Arabidopsis thaliana: one gene and its partner. The protein of the gene in region 2 interacts with the protein of the main gene of each other region in a pairwise test. Each region holds a gene or a part of one and is shown on either strand. Other genes may lie near its edges.

What was found.
Region 1: the proteins of MYB70 (region 2) and CIPK9 interact in a two-hybrid assay, tested with the Arabidopsis thaliana proteins (2 studies listed by BioGRID).

The regions. Positions count from the first base shown.
Region 1 is NC_003070.9:62,415-71,713, reverse strand, and holds CIPK9 (CBL-interacting protein kinase 9), read left to right. Parts: upstream 1-4,088; 5' UTR 4,089-4,201; coding exon 4,202-4,390; intron 4,391-4,816; coding exon 4,817-4,879; intron 4,880-4,964; coding exon 4,965-5,036; intron 5,037-5,156; coding exon 5,157-5,264; intron 5,265-5,371; coding exon 5,372-5,452; intron 5,453-5,553; coding exon 5,554-5,607; intron 5,608-5,849; coding exon 5,850-5,975; coding exon of another isoform or gene 5,976-5,981; intron 5,982-6,061; coding exon 6,062-6,151; intron 6,152-6,257; coding exon 6,258-6,383; intron 6,384-6,496; coding exon 6,497-6,604; intron 6,605-6,696; coding exon 6,697-6,813; intron 6,814-6,906; coding exon 6,907-6,963; intron 6,964-7,057; coding exon 7,058-7,144; intron 7,145-7,238; coding exon 7,239-7,316; 3' UTR 7,317-7,547; downstream 7,548-9,299. Other genes in the region: AT1G01150 (Homeodomain-like protein with RING/FYVE/PHD-type zinc finger domain-containing protein), read left to right, coding at 1-673, 746-874, 1,429-1,599; AT1G01130 (CBL-interacting Serine/Threonine-kinase), read left to right, coding at 7,903-8,157. UniProt on the Arabidopsis thaliana protein: CIPK serine-threonine protein kinases interact with CBL proteins. Binding of a CBL protein to the regulatory NAF domain of CIPK protein lead to the activation of the kinase in a calcium-dependent manner. Involved in K(+) homeostasis under low-K(+) stress.
Region 2 is NC_003071.7:9,901,393-9,908,814, reverse strand, and holds MYB70 (myb domain protein 70), read left to right. Parts: upstream 1-2,782; 5' UTR 2,783-2,990; coding exon 2,991-3,920; 3' UTR 3,921-4,309; downstream 4,310-7,422. Other genes in the region: AT2G23270 (uncharacterized protein), read right to left, coding at 5,244-5,504; UGT84B1 (UDP-glucosyl transferase 84B1), read left to right, coding at 7,399-7,422.

The DNA of each region.
Region 1 (9,299 bases), on a different chromosome or scaffold from region 2:
AATTGTTGAAGAAATTGGCTTTGTGAGAGAAAAGCGCATTGCTCATTGTATTGTTCAGTGTGATGATGGTGGTGATGAGGACGTCAACTCTGCTCCAAACATTTTCACTTATGATAATGTGCCTCTTAAGAAGCGCCACTACCTTGGGACAAGTGACACTTTCAGAAGCTTTGAGCCGTTGAACGAACACGCATGTATTGTATGCGATATTGCAGACGATGGTGTAGTACCTTGTTCTGGGAATGAATGCCCTCTCGCTGTTCACAGGAAGTGTGTTGAGCTTGATTGTGAAGATCCTGCAACCTTTTACTGTCCCTATTGTTGGTTTAAGGAGCAAGCTACTAGATCCACGGCTTTGAGAACAAGGGGTGTTGCAGCTGCGAAGACCCTTGTTCAATATGGATGTAGTGAGCTGAGGAGTGGAGATATAGTCATGACGAGAGAAAACAGTCAACTAGAGAATGGTTCTGATAATTCACTACCAATGCAACTACATGAGAACCTTCATCAATTACAAGAACTGGTCAAGCACCTTAAGGCTCGAAATTCCCAGTTAGACGAGTCAACAGATCAATTCATTGATATGGAGAAATCTTGCGGAGAAGCTTATGCTGTTGTTAATGATCAGCCAAAAAGGGTACTATGGACAGTCAACGAAGAGAAGATGTTGAGGGTAAAACCACCACACTTTTTTCTTGAAATACACTTTTAGCTTAAACTTATAGTATATGTTTATTTTGGATAGGAGGGAGTGGAGAAATTTTCTGATACAATCAACAAAAACATGCCTTGGAAGAAGATTTTGGAGATGGGAAAAGGTATATTCCACACAACTCGTAATTCCTCCGATCTTAAGGACAAATGGAGAAATATGGTGCGTATGTGATTCCTTTCACCATAAAATCCTTAGAAGTATTAAATGACGCATTTGATATCAAAAACATTAAGACAAATCCTAGTGACCTTTTGAATTGGCAGTATAGTAGTGTGACGACTTTGATGTTAGTCCTTCCTTGTAATCGCAGTTTCGGATTCCTCCGTGTAGATCTTTTGGTAACAGTAGTCCTTATAGATGATGTTCGCTTTGTATCCCTTATGTTGATATTAAGAGAAGATAACGTGTCTTTTGTAGTAGCCGTCCCACTCTGTTAGTCTTTTGTTTTGTACCCTTCTTTAAACAAAACAGAGGATTGAGAAAAAGAGAATCATATGGGAATTATGGATATAATTTTGAAGAACTTAAAAATAGGTTAATCTTTTAAGACTATGGGGAGATAACTTGTCGCACAAGTACCAAATGTTTCGGAAACAAAGGTGAAAAAATCTACAAACTTAACAATAAAACCACAAGTCTTCCATTTGTACGGAGGTTAATAATAATTAATACCAAATAAACGACAACACTTGAAGTAGTCAAAACTTTTATAGAATTATCTTGATTTGGTTGAGGTCGAGATTGACATCATCATCGTCGTCGCAGAGATCGGAGATCAAAATGGAGAGGGAAAGAAACGCAGGAGTGATGAAGAAGATGAGTCCAACAGGAACCATCCAAAGATTAGAATTTGTGGGATGGTATTTGTAAAGCCAATAACTTAGAAACAATCCTCCACATATATTCACAATCATCGAATACAAGAACACCATTGACGACGTACTCTTCTTCTCCTTCCTTGTCCTCTTCTTCATATTCGTGTTCATGCTGCTTTCGTGGTTCATTTGCAAGAGGATCTAAACAAGTTATGATTCGCCTTTTTATTAATTAATTTACTGGGAGTTAGGTGAAGTGAAAGAAAAGATGGATGACAATAATAGATTCTATATTGTTAGAGTGTATGAGTAAGTAAGTATATATGCAGTCGGGTTCCGGTTCGTGTAGGTCGGTTTAGAAAGTATATTTCAATTAAACTCGGTTTTTAGTCGTTTTTCTAACGAAATGTGTTTGGTTTTTAGAGATTATTTATGAGCAAAACTGAGTTTGTGTTTGGGTTTTAGATAGGGTACCTAAAACTCGATTAAACATTTAGACCAGTTTCCAGCTGGTCCGACTCCGATTTAGGTTGGTCAATGTATGAAAGGCAAATCTAAACATAAGACACATTTTATGTTATGTATTACTAAATTACTACAAAAAAAACTCCTACAACTCCAAAATACACAATGGTTTAGATTTAGATATACATGTTTTTAGAACTAAAATTATTGAGGTATTTTATAATAGTACTCCAAGTTATAATTTCTGTTACGAGGCGAGAATAAACGTGGGAGAGGAAGGAAAAAAAGGTGCCGTGCGGTGCAACTAGATTTTACATATTTGTACACATATTTCACGATTGAATCTTTCAAGACATTATATGCTTTATCAAATTTTATATATATAACAATTAGATAAGAAACACAATCTGACCCGACTCTACTATTTATAATTATACGTATGAATCTCTAACTTCGTTACTAAAACGGCAAATACTAAACCCTGAAAGGAAACTGTGTGAGAAACAGTTAGGCCCCTTGACCATCTTTGTTCAACGTTGTCAACGAAAAAAAAATGGAACCATAAAGGATAATTAATTGTATCACAAAAAGACAAACACAAATTATTGAATATACCATCACTTATCAGTATATAATTTTATACAAATGCTTTAAATAACAAATATTATGTAGAAAAAGAGAAAAGAAACTTAACTTGGTCAATTTGATCATTTGTGTAAACGATGATGCGGAACATATGCGATAATAATGTTATTGGATGGCAAAAAAAAAAAAAAGTATTTTAGTTGGGCCCTAATGTTAATTCACAATCAAGCCTAAATTTGGTTAATGGGCCAATCTTTCTTATATATGTAGGACTCGGATGTTCGGTCTACTCGAACTATCTACAAACCAAGCTAAACCGAAAGTAAATACAAAATCAAACCAAATAATAGTTTGGTTTATATAGGTTTTAAATTTTAATCCATATAATCCAATAAGTTCCAACTCATAACCAGGAAAATAAAAAAAATGTGGAATGAAGAAGTTCAAATTGATAACCAAATGAATTGCTTTCATATGATGGTGACGTGATGTTTTTGTACCGGACTCAATTATTGGAACGAGTGGTTCATTGTGCATTATTTGCATTTTCTTTTGTTCGTAATATACTAACATATCTAAAAAATTATTGTATCATTATTACTAGTCATGCAATAAATCATCAACTCACACTGTCTGCCACACTTTTTTAATTTTTCTGCGTATTTTGGCATTATCATATGAAAGAAAATAAGAGAAACAAATAAAGGAAAGAAGAAAAATAAAAACATTATCACATTCTGTGAAATCTCTGAGTTTATCAGGAAGGATATGTGGGGTTCATATTCATACCGTTCCCTTTACTCACATCGTCACATGGAAAGATCAACTATTTCAATTATCTATTTATTTATTATCATATACTTTAAATAATCAAATTTAGAACCGTTACAAACAAAAATAAACAGCTACATCAAATTTAAACAAAAGTAAGTATATGCGAATATTATCATAGATTTAAACAAAATTTGACCAAGATATAACAATCATCATTTAACTACCAACATTTGATATATGTATTTATTGTTCTTAGGTAGTTTCCAACTTCTAACTAAAGACAAAAAAAAAAGTTATATTTAGAGAATATTTCTACATGAAAAGAATACAACTATATCAAATAATATGATAACAGTCAACTTTGAACATCAGTAGAATGGAATGAATCACTGAAAGATATACTCATATACACATAAAGATTAAGGACATCAAATCACATCCCTTACAAATAAAACCATATCCACATAAATTTAAAACCCCAAAATTTTCATAAAATCCATATACTTAAACAGGAGTTTCTGTATATAGTTACCACACAAGAACAAAATTATGGAATTTTTTTATATGAATGAAGAATGAACGTTACGAACGTACACAAGTACAAATAACACGGGACTGACGCGGAACAGAGCAAAATAATGATTTTTGACATTACGTGGCATACGGGACCCACAATACGCGCGTGACTCCCAGTCGCGCCTATTAAATCTCTCGCTCGTCCACTTTCTCTCGTCAGCCTTAAAACCAGGCAGCCACTAGAAGAAGGAGAGATATTGAGGGAGAAGAATCACATTGATAGATTCGCCGCCGATCTAGAGCCGTTGATTTTCTTAATCGGAAAAAGAAAATGAGTGGAAGCAGAAGGAAGGCGACGCCGGCGAGTAGGACGCGAGTAGGGAATTACGAGATGGGACGAACTCTCGGAGAAGGAAGCTTCGCTAAGGTGAAATACGCCAAGAACACCGTCACCGGAGATCAAGCCGCTATCAAAATCCTCGACCGAGAAAAGGTCTTCCGTCACAAAATGGTCGAACAGGTTCGTTAATTGTGTTTGGTTTGATCACGTAAAATGATTATGGATTTGTTTGTTTTTAAGTACTATAAAGAACAGTTTAATTTCGTGATTAGGGACCCACATGTCCTCCTAGGTTGGTGTTCGGTTATTAAGGTTAATGTTTGATTAAAGTGTTAACAATAATATTTTAAAATATCGAATTTTGTATGAATGTTTTTGTTTCTGTATATATCTACACGATGCTGATCTTAGTACGCATTGATCAAGATAACTATTAACTATGATATGGATATGGTTTTGAAGTTCGAGTAGCTTTGTTTTTGATTTGGTTCGATTTGAATCTGTTGAAGATTTAGTTTTGTATGCTATATATGTATGATTGGAAGTTATGAGCAAGATCTCGAAGATATAATGATCATAAAGTTTTATTTTTTTGTTGTTGTGCAGCTTAAAAGAGAAATATCTACAATGAAACTGATTAAACATCCAAATGTGGTTGAAATCATTGAGGTACGAAACTAATTAGTTATCATTCCTTAGATATTTTTTAAATTAAGTTTTGAATCTTAGCGTGTAAAACATCTCTCTGTGGTAGGTTATGGCGAGCAAAACGAAGATCTATATCGTTCTTGAGCTTGTCAATGGAGGTGAACTCTTTGATAAAATCGTAAGTAACCTAACTTAGAGAATCTTCCTCTCTTTTCTCTTCACAAATATTGACATATGTTCTCTGTCTTTCTCTCTTCTTACTCTTATGTTAATTCTTGGATTTAAATCATATACATAGGCGCAACAAGGGAGGCTTAAGGAGGATGAAGCTCGGAGATATTTTCAGCAGCTCATCAATGCTGTGGATTACTGCCACAGTCGAGGTGTCTACCACAGAGATCTCAAGGTCTTTCTTTTGTTTTTGTGCACTCTTCTTGTTTCCTGTGATTACGATATTCATTCTTCTTAGTTCTTATTCAAGTTTCTTTTGTTATCATCTGTTCCTTGTTGCAGCCTGAAAATCTGATCCTTGACGCAAATGGGGTTTTGAAAGTCTCTGATTTTGGGTTAAGCGCCTTCTCACGACAAGTTCGGGTAATGCCATTATATTTTTCACTTGGCAATTAATTTCTGATATATATAACCAAGATATCAATTTGAATGAAGTGTTCTAAGCATTGTTCTTTTGAATGCAGGAAGATGGTTTGCTTCATACAGCTTGTGGAACGCCAAACTACGTTGCCCCTGAGGTATTATGTACTAACTTTCAGCACTTAAAAAGGCAAAGAATATGAAATGTTCTGTAGATCCTCTTTGGAAAATAAGATTTTAAGGAATTCAAGAACTGCTAATACGTTTTTAAAAAGGAAGGAAATCTAACAAATGCTATACGTATATATAGACTTCATTTGCAGAATCTTCTTTATTTATGATGTATATAAGAGATATGCCTTTAATGTTGTCTACTGCATTGTGTTGGATTTGCTGGCAGGTTTTGTCGGACAAAGGCTATGACGGTGCAGCAGCAGATGTCTGGTCTTGTGGTGTCATTCTCTTTGTGCTTATGGCTGGTTACTTGCCTTTTGATGAGCCGAATCTCATGACATTATACAAACGTGTACGTGTAAATTATCTCTCCCTCTGCTTCTTGATCTTCTGCAGTACTTTTCTAGTCTCATCTTTGGTGTTTAATATATACTTTAGATATGCAAGGCTGAGTTTAGCTGCCCACCATGGTTCTCGCAAGGTGCCAAGAGAGTCATCAAGCGTATTCTCGAACCCAACCCTATTACCGTAAGTGCCTCTTACATGAAGTAATAGTTGTGAAAATGTGAACATGACATGCTGCCAACCATAGATTGTGCAAGAGCTTAAGTATGTACTTATTTCTGAAATGCAGAGAATAAGTATTGCAGAGTTGCTCGAAGATGAATGGTTCAAGAAAGGGTACAAGCCGCCATCATTTGACCAAGATGACGAGGACATAACCATAGATGATGTTGATGCTGCTTTTAGTAACTCCAAGGTAAACACCGCCATTTCCAAATTCTCCATCTGGTTGTGTATATCATAGTTCGGTTTAAGTAAACCAATGTATTGTTACCAACTAATATCACTCTTTTTGTGCTGCTACTCTAGGAATGTCTTGTAACTGAGAAGAAGGAGAAACCTGTATCCATGAACGCTTTCGAACTTATCTCTAGCTCAAGCGAGTTCAGTCTTGAAAACTTGTTCGAGAAGCAAGCGGTAAGAACTTTTTTCTACTTACAGTTTGTCTTGATTTTCTAAAATCATGCATAGGTTTTATCTAACTAAATCTGATTTGTTGTTGTTTGCAGCAACTTGTGAAGAAAGAAACGCGGTTTACTTCTCAACGATCTGCGAGTGAAATAATGTCGAAAATGGAAGAAACCGCAAAGCCATTAGGCTTTAATGTCCGTAAAGACAACTACAAGGTCTGTTCTTCTTCTTCTTCTTCTTCTTGATTTTGTTTGTGTCAACTAATGTCTTTGTAGCTTCGTTAAACATTGTTTAAGTAAACTTCGCAGATAAAAATGAAAGGAGACAAAAGTGGTCGTAAAGGTCAGCTCTCCGTAGCTACAGAGGTAAGAAAGAAAAAAATACTCCGGTTCAGTTCGGTTTTTGGATTTTGATGAATATCGTTATCTAATTGTTATGGTTTGGTAATCGGTTTAATAGGTGTTTGAAGTGGCGCCATCATTGCATGTGGTAGAGCTTAGGAAAACCGGTGGTGATACCCTCGAGTTTCACAAGGTATGTGATTCGGTTTGATCTTCATCAAAAACCGGTTCGGTTTTGATCCGGTTAACATCTCTAGTTTAGTGTTTAAATTGGTTTTATGTTTGAATCTCTTTTGCAGTTCTACAAAAACTTCTCATCTGGATTAAAGGATGTAGTCTGGAATACTGATGCAGCCGCTGAAGAACAAAAGCAATAAGAAATAACAAGTTGTTCAATTCAAAGTTTTTAATCAATGTTGAACATGTATAATGAATAGTAAACATTCTGGAGTTGGCAATATACAAGTATTGCTGACAAAAGAGCCAAACTAGAACTAGAAGTGGTCTATAGAGGTAGATCACCATAGGTTAGTCAATAGCCACATATGTGATCATCCTCAAACTCGGTTTGAAACCTATAAATCAAAGTTCAAACAATTCAATTAGGCAAAAAATACTCTGCAAGCTGGCTATTTGAGTATAGTTGAAAGTTGCAACGATGTTGTCGCTTTATGGCAACGCGTTACAATGACACAACATATATAACAATTTGGAAAACACAATGATAGAATTATTAAAGAGAGGTTATCTTAGCTACATAGATCTACGTTTGCAACCAAAAAAAAAAAGTTTTATTTTGATGTACAGTCACACATTGATGACGGAGTGGTTTCTAGTGAGGAGTTGGTGTTGAGCAGACCAACGTTAATTGCCCAATAAGTTGTGTGAGTTGTCTAATCTTTCAAATCAAACAGCCCGTAAAGCCCATAAAGTCGCAAATTTCGCATTCCAAAGTTTTTAAGAATGGAGAAACGTTCAGATTCAGAGAGTGTAGAGATTTTGGGTGATTGGGATTCACCTCCTCCGGAAGAAAGAATCGTAATGGTTTCTGTTCCCACTTCACCAGAATCTGATTACGCGAGATCGAATCAACCGAAAGAGATCGAATCTAGGGTTTCAGACAAGGAAACAGCGTCGGCATCCGGAGAAGTGGCTGCGAGGAGGGTGTTGCCGCCGTGGATGGATCCGTCGTATGAATGGGGTGGTGGCAAATGGAAAGTAGACGGAAGAAAGAACAAGAACAAGAAAGAGAAAGAGAAAGAGAAAGAAGAGATTATTCCTTTTAAAGAAATAATTGAAGCTCTCCTTGGAAACTCCGGTGACAAGGTTCAACAAGACAACAAGGTTAATCAAAGTCAGAGCTCTGTTGAGATGTTGAAATCAATGGGCTTTAAGTTTCCTTAATTTGTGGTAATCTTTTGGGGCTTTTCTTGGTTTTAGTTTTTTTGTTTTGTTGTTGCAGAAAGTAGTAGACTAGTAGTAGGTATGCTTTTTCCTCATTATTGAAATTCTGTTTTAATCTGATAATGAAACTAAGAAATCCAAGATTTGCAAGATAAACTTTTGAACGTGAATATATGTCACTAGTGTTTTGGCCAACTCACGGCTTAAATCTCTGAGTAAGATTCTTCGGAGAGAAAAAAAAAAAAAGAATTTTGTAGGTTTAGTGTGAGATATTGTTGGATACAGTAAAAGCTATTGACGTTAGTTTTCGTTTAAGCTGTTTTTTTTTTGTTATGACTTATGATACAACTACAAATTTGAGTCCATACTAGTGTTATATGATAGCGTGTTTTGTTAATATCCTCGATAAAAATGTTATCTGAAAATACAATGTGAGAACGGAACCATTCTTCTTAGAATTATTTCTAAATTTAAGCAAAATAAAGTAATACAGTATTTCTGAAATGCAGAGTATAAGTATTGCAGAGTTACTAGAAGATGAATGGCTTCAATATCAGTAAACACATGTTGTGTTTCTACACTTTCTCTCTATCTCTGTCTTTGTTTCACTCTGTTTTGTTTTTGTTTAGAGACAAACACAAGAACTCGTTTTTACTCTTTAATAAAAGACTACATTCATGATATTGATGATTTCTTACAACACAACACATACATGTACTACTTCTCCTAGTTCTAGGCACTCTTACACAACCCTCCTACTTGTATTGGAACTCTAACAACAACTACTCTAACCTAGACTTGACTTACTTAAACAACACTTTACTTATATGGGACTAACATAGCAATTAGCCCAATTACTTATTACAAGACAACAAGCCCAATATCTTCTTTGACTTGCTCTTCTCATCTTTGCTATGATCTTCTTCTCACTGAAACTTTTCTTCTTATAGAAATTT
Region 2 (7,422 bases):
GTAATGAAAAGTTGTACTTTCTTAAAGGAAAAAACTATTGTTTTATAATACTTTGATGGACGTACCACTTAATAATGTATTACATTCACTACATCACAAAGTAATACTTGTATGATACATCAAGGGACAGAGCATATTGATTATCATGAAAAACTACTATAGTTGAAAATCATAAAAAAACAAAAGCACATTGAGATACATATCATATAATGGGGGAAAAAACACTCATACGCCTAAAAATTTCCAATGCATACCACTTCATGTTCGTAGATTTATTCAGAAAACGTGTAGGGTATCAGGATAATGAGAGAAACATTAATCAAATCTCACGTGAAGGGATGCAGAGTTAGTAAATGAGATATACAAGTACGATTGCGGACCACACATACACTTATACATGTTACTCGGTCAATGTCATTAATATTTAATTTGAATAAGAAAATACCAACTACATAAATGATTAGTGGTAATAGTATATACAATTATGGGAAGGAAGAATTTGGTAGTAGATACGATGGACCAATAAGGGAAAATCTCATACCGTATCTCCATTAATGACACCTTCTTGTTTAATCTATAAAATTTGGCTTCGATAATTAAACAGAATCTTAAGAACTCTTTTCGATATCTCTTACCTTATCTAACTATAACTTGAAAGAAGAGAATGAGGAAGCTCACGACAAGGTTCATGTTGGCATTGGAACATGTGCAGGCGACGTTTTTTGTGCGGTACACGGCTGATGTACGGTTTAACGTATTCCTTTGTATATGAGTATCATGTTGACAACAAATAAAACGACAAAGGAAATGAACTTTACTTCAACATAAATCTTTTAGACATGTTAAACTAGCTTATATCAAACAATGAATAGTAACGATAGGCTCTCAAAACTCTAATCGATCTATCCTGTCGTTTTCGATTTACGTAAGAATCTTATTAGTATCTTTTTGAATATCCAAAATAACTGATTTTTGTATATAAAAAGTAGTAATAATATTGGCATACAGGCTGGCTTCTTTAGTCAGAAAAGTCTCTGAAGAATCCAACAAAAAACCTAAACCACTTTTAACGTCATCCTTATCTTCGTTTTATTTTTCTTTTAATCAGAAAATCAAAAACAAAAACAGAAGAAACTGGAATCACTCAATAAGTATGGATACTTTACTTATACGTTTCTAATATGTATAGATACGTCAATTCAATACGCAAAATACAATTTCGAAAAAAGCGACGTTTGTGTTTCAGTGCTTTTAAATTGAAAACAAAATGTGTTTTCACACAACAAAATAAAAAATAAAAATATTCTTAAATTTGTTGTGAAACCAATACAAAATACAACGTTCAAAAAAGAAAAACTAAAACGACACACGACATATATGATTTTATAATTAAAGTCGAAGGAAAACGTAATTTTTTCTAAATCTAATGAAAATACCAACAAAAGTTTTTAAACTTAAATCGAAAGAGACCGAACCCAACAACTAAAATCATAAGCAACTAAACACAAACCCTTTAAAAAACATTAGTCTTCAGAATCAATAAATCCTTTATTTTGAAATAACTACGGATAAAATTTATTAAGTATATGCGATCAAACCAAAGATAACATTAATTACTTTCTATCGATATAAGAAACAGTCCCGTCTCAAGCTATAATTGAGCCTTTGCCAAAATAAAAATAAAAACTAAAATCTCTTAATAAAATTTTGTTTTAAGAAAATTGGGCCTTTTATGCTTATGATTGTTTTTAAAATCAGTAATAGATCCATGGCATTTGCCTAATTTGCCATGGGGTAAAGACGGTCTTGATAAGAGTCAATCTTTCACAACCTAAACTAAAGATTTTATAATCCGACAAATAAAACGACCGAAAAAACTTAAATACGTTTTTAGATACGACAACGATAATTAATGTGCATCTAATTACGTTTAAATAGAAATCTTCAAAAATTCGACCATACCAACACTGATATGCAAAGGAAAAACAAAGAATGTAACCTTCAAAATGCAAAAAGAAAAGATAATTAAAAAAGGAAATAACTTAAAAACGAAATGATTTAAATTAAATAAAAAAACGATCCACCTGTGAAACGCTCTCAAGTACCACAAAATGTACTCTCTCTATCACACACAGTTACATATTTCGTTGACAGCTGTCCCCACTAACAGCTGTTTCCCAAATCCCCAACCGTTTTCTTGGAAAGATTCTCTCTTTATTTTAGCCTCACTCTCTCAGACGCATTTCCCCCAATCGCACCGCCACTCCCTGACGTGCTTTTTTCTTTCTCTTTTAAATATTCAAATACGTATCAGACTACTCACGTTACATCTTCTTCATAACTAATCCAATTTAGAAATTACGCAAAATTACTTAAATATGTAGTTTTTCTAAATAGTTTTACATAACTACAATATATAAGAATTTTTAATTTGAATTTATTTTTTGAAAAAGGTTTGCATTTATAATTTGATGTAATATGATTTGATTTTAGTTTAATATCTTTGTTTAGTTATAGTTAGAAATACAGTACATGTTTAGTTATAATTTAACATTCATTAAAAAAACATTACATAATAATTTGTTTAATAGTATATATTTTAATAAATTTTAGTTTAGAGTTTATTTTGTTTGGTTCAAACTAAATTTCAGTTTTCTGGATTTTAAAATAATAAAACAAAACGGCATATACTTACATATTTAATTTGGTGTCAGTTAACTTATTTCAATTTGATTCAGTTGAAAACATAATTATGCACGTAAATAATCCAATTTACAGTTACGAAAAAATTAAGTTGTTGTTAACTAACGATAAAAAATTACCGGTAGAACCGGTGACCTCTCTAACCATCACACCTCGTATAAATACTCTCTCCTCTTCATACTTATCCTCTCAACAAAAATCGTTTCGTTCTTTTCCAAAATCCCCAAACAATAGAAACGCGTTTTAAACGATTTGATTAGTTTTAAATTAAAAAGAAGATCCGAGCGATGTCTGGTTCGACCCGGAAAGAAATGGATCGGATCAAAGGACCATGGAGTCCTGAAGAAGACGATCTGTTACAATCGTTGGTTCAGAAGCACGGACCAAGGAACTGGTCTCTGATAAGCAAATCAATCCCTGGACGTTCCGGTAAATCTTGCCGTCTCCGTTGGTGTAATCAGCTTTCTCCGGAGGTAGAGCACCGTGGATTCACGGCGGAGGAAGATGATACGATTATACTAGCGCACGCTCGGTTTGGTAACAAGTGGGCGACGATTGCACGGCTTCTCAATGGTCGCACTGATAACGCGATTAAGAATCACTGGAACTCAACGCTGAAGCGGAAATGTAGCGGCGGAGGCGGCGGAGGAGAGGAAGGGCAGAGTTGTGATTTCGGTGGTAATGGAGGGTATGATGGTAATTTAACTGATGAAAAACCGTTAAAACGGAGGGCGAGTGGTGGAGGAGGAGTTGTTGTGGTGACGGCGTTAAGTCCAACGGGATCTGACGTCAGCGAGCAATCGCAATCTAGTGGATCTGTTTTACCGGTTTCTTCTTCTTGTCATGTTTTTAAACCGACGGCGAGAGCTGGTGGAGTGGTGATTGAGTCATCATCGCCGGAGGAGGAGGAGAAAGATCCGATGACTTGTTTGAGGTTGTCTTTGCCTTGGGTCAATGAGTCAACAACTCCACCGGAGTTGTTTCCGGTGAAGAGAGAAGAAGAAGAAGAGAAGGAAAGAGAGATTTCTGGACTTGGTGGAGATTTTATGACGGTGGTGCAGGAGATGATTAAGACGGAGGTTAGGAGTTACATGGCGGATTTACAGCTAGGAAACGGCGGAGGAGCTGGAGGAGGAGCAAGTTCGTGTATGGTGCAAGGAACTAATGGTCGTAATGTAGGGTTTAGAGAGTTTATTGGATTAGGTAGGATCGAGTAGTGAGTGAGAAAAGAGAAGAATTGTGTAGCAAATGCAGAGAAAGAGCCAATTTCATGATTTGAGATTTGATTCATTCGAAAAAAAAACTGAATAAATGTATTGATTTTGATCATGACATGTCTTAGATTTAATGAAATTGGTCTATAAAAGGGTTGATGAGGCTGGTCCTCGAGGTGAATCAATGTTACCTTTTGATAAAGTGAAAGAAGAGCATGAACAAAGTCATTTCCATACAAAGAGGAGTTTACAGCATTCTTGATCTCTCTAGACTGGTCTTGCGATTCGAAGAGTGAAGTAATGAATTCTACTGAACCAAGTGACGATTTCCGTAGTTTGTTACCTTCGGTTACCGACTATAGCATCGCAGTAAAGGTTATAGTGTGAGAGACAACATCATATATAGATATTCAATGAATGATACAGAGTGTAGAACAGATCACCTCAATACAACTAACTGTAGCAGTAAGGCCTCTACCGGGGAAATACTCAAAGCACAAGGGAGGTCCTTCCCAATACTGTGGCTCTGCAAAAAAGAAAGAGTTTGATTGTGTTAATAACTATCAAGCGGTGTAAGATTACTGATGTTTGACAAGCAAATACCTTCCAATAGGATGTATGGTACCTTTCTCCATAGCAGCTGCTACAACTAATGCTTCCTTTTCACAATTTGGCATACAATACAACAAGGAGTCACACTTGCATCAATTCCTGCTTGATGATGTCCATAAATGGGTTCAATTGCTTTGCACGTAAGGCTCCTAATGTTTACCTATATAATGGAGAAGAAATATGCACTAGATATGTGTATAACTTGTTGTCCAAGCCAAATTTCCACAGCTCCATCCGGAACAACATCCTTCAGAAACTATCTAAAGAATTGGTTAACTTCAATTTCCACGGAAATCGCGATTTCTTGGTTAAAGTTGAAGTGGATGTAGCTGTTAAAGAGGTAAGCTTAGGTGATTATCACTCAGAAGAAGGTTAAAGTTAAGTCGCTTCTTTTTGCTTTGTGGATTTGGAGCTTAACTATGTTGTTATTGAAACTCATTAAAAACATGAATATCCAGTTATTCATTCACATAATCAGAATAATAAATTAATTACAATATATATTACATTGTACATTATTATCAAATGAATTTCAATAAGTTAACAAAAGAATATTCCTACAGAGAACAAATGAGGTTCTTCCAATTCTTGATTTTCCCAAGTTCTAAGCATAAAAAGAAAAATCTGAATAATTAATCTGAAAAAAAACTAAACAAAGCAATCAATTTCCGGAGCTAGACCAAAGCAGCCACATTAACTGGTTCGGTCGGGAACTTAGTGACCGGGTCCACTCGTGCTGGGACCTGAATGCTTACCATATTCAAGCGTCTCAGTCCGGTCCACGAACCGATGACCCTCACCACCAGAGCTAGGACCCGACTCCTTAATCGCCCCAAGTGACAAACCATCGAAGAACTTAGCCACGAGGTTCTCTTCAGCCTTCGTTAAACCCAAAGGACGAGCCTCCACCACAAAATTCGAACTCACCAACATGAAAAACAGAAACGAACCCAAAACAACTTTGTTCATCATCATTTTCTTTGAGTGGTATTTTTGAGTAGTAAAAACAAAAATGTTTTTTATTTTATTTTTCTTGTGTTCCCTAATTTATGAGATGACTAAATTTGTTGTGAGTAGTTTGTGGACTTGGGAGTTAGAATATATAGTAAAGTGAAGAGCCTTGAAGAAGAAGAAAAGTTTGACATTTTCAGTTTTTGACTTCATAAGCTTAAAATTCAACAAGACGTGAGATTTGAATTTTAGGCTCCTTCCTGGGAAAATACTGAGGTTGCTTCTTGTTCTTGGTCTTCCAATTTCTTTTTAAAAATATAATTTGCGAACATATAAAGCCATCAACGAGGAATGGAGATTAGTTATTTGGCTGAAGAAATTAAATGATTTTAATTTTGTCTCTGATTGTTTGGAATAGACTTTTAGTTGTAGACCATAAACTATGTGTGGAATTCAAATCTAGTATGGTATTTTATGTTTATCTATATAATATTGTGACAAAACCTAATGTCCTCACCTTCCTTCAAGTATACTATAATCACTGTAGATGACATTAACTCAAAAATGTTTTATGATAAGAGTTTTCTAAGGATTGATTACCACAAACATATATTTGATGATCTAAATAGTTACATAATTTTTCATAACCATTTTCACTACTTCGACCGTTAATTTGAAAGAATACTAAATTCACTACTTCTACCAAATTAACGGTCGAAGTAGTTTTTAGTTGAAAATTAAAATTGTTGGGTGGGCATCAAACTTGATTGATGTTACAAAATTTCAGGCCCCACCAATCTATCTATGTACTTTTCTTGTTTCTCACGTTGTTGTTATTTCCATTCAAAGTAGCCTTCTTTGAAATGTTCATGAGCGAAGTATCAGATTGTTGATATTTCAACCTTTGTGTGTGTATTTTTTTTCTCAAAACCATCCTTAAAAATCGTTTAGTGGAACTTAATGTATGACGACGAATATGTGTATGGAGGACTTTTCTTTTTAAGTACATTGTAAAATTTTCTTTATATTTTCACATTCATTGGTTTTGGTTATAAAAGAAAATAAACCTGTAGATTAGAAATTACCGAAAATGAGATCTGAGTTGGATGGTACATAAAAAAACACGAGACTCACCTATTCCCTATGTTCCTTTTTGTTTGATTTTTTAAGAAAAATATTTCAAAAAGATCGATGTTTTAAATTTTCTATGTAATATTTATTAATTATTATCAATGAATTGTAAACTTTAATAAAAATGATTGAATATCATTGATTTAAAATTATAGGAAACTGTAAAATACAAAAAATAATACATTTAAAATCAACATTAATATGTTTTCTTAATATGTGCATTTTTCTAAACAATCAAATAAAAAGGAACAAATGGAATATATGTTTGGGCTATTTATACATTCTAGCAAATTAACATTCGGTTTGGTACATGCCACTTAAACACTTTTCTTTTTATTCCTTATTTATTTTGGATATCTTATCGTTGACCAAACTTTATTTCAAATTTAATTCTATGTTTCATACTTTTTTACTATAAAAATGATTTTATAAATAAAGAAACAATACTAAACAGATGTGAAAATCTTGTGAAATTTTTGACACATACAAAAGTTGATCATTGTAACGGTCAAGTGTCACACTAATAAACAATTTTTAGTTAATAATAAGATAAAAATTGTAACTGACCCGATGACCAATAGATGAACATACTTGGTGAAAAGGTGGATACTAAAGAATCTACTTGCTAACAGTTGACTGGGTTAGCCATTACTATAGACAGATTTTCTTACCATAATCTAATTTTATGTCTTCATTAAGCAAAATCTCTCATCAAACCACCATTGCTATTATATATGACTCAAAGTTTCATGAAAATCTAAACTATTAGTGAAAAAAATAAAAAATAATGGGCAGTAGTGAGGGTCAAGAA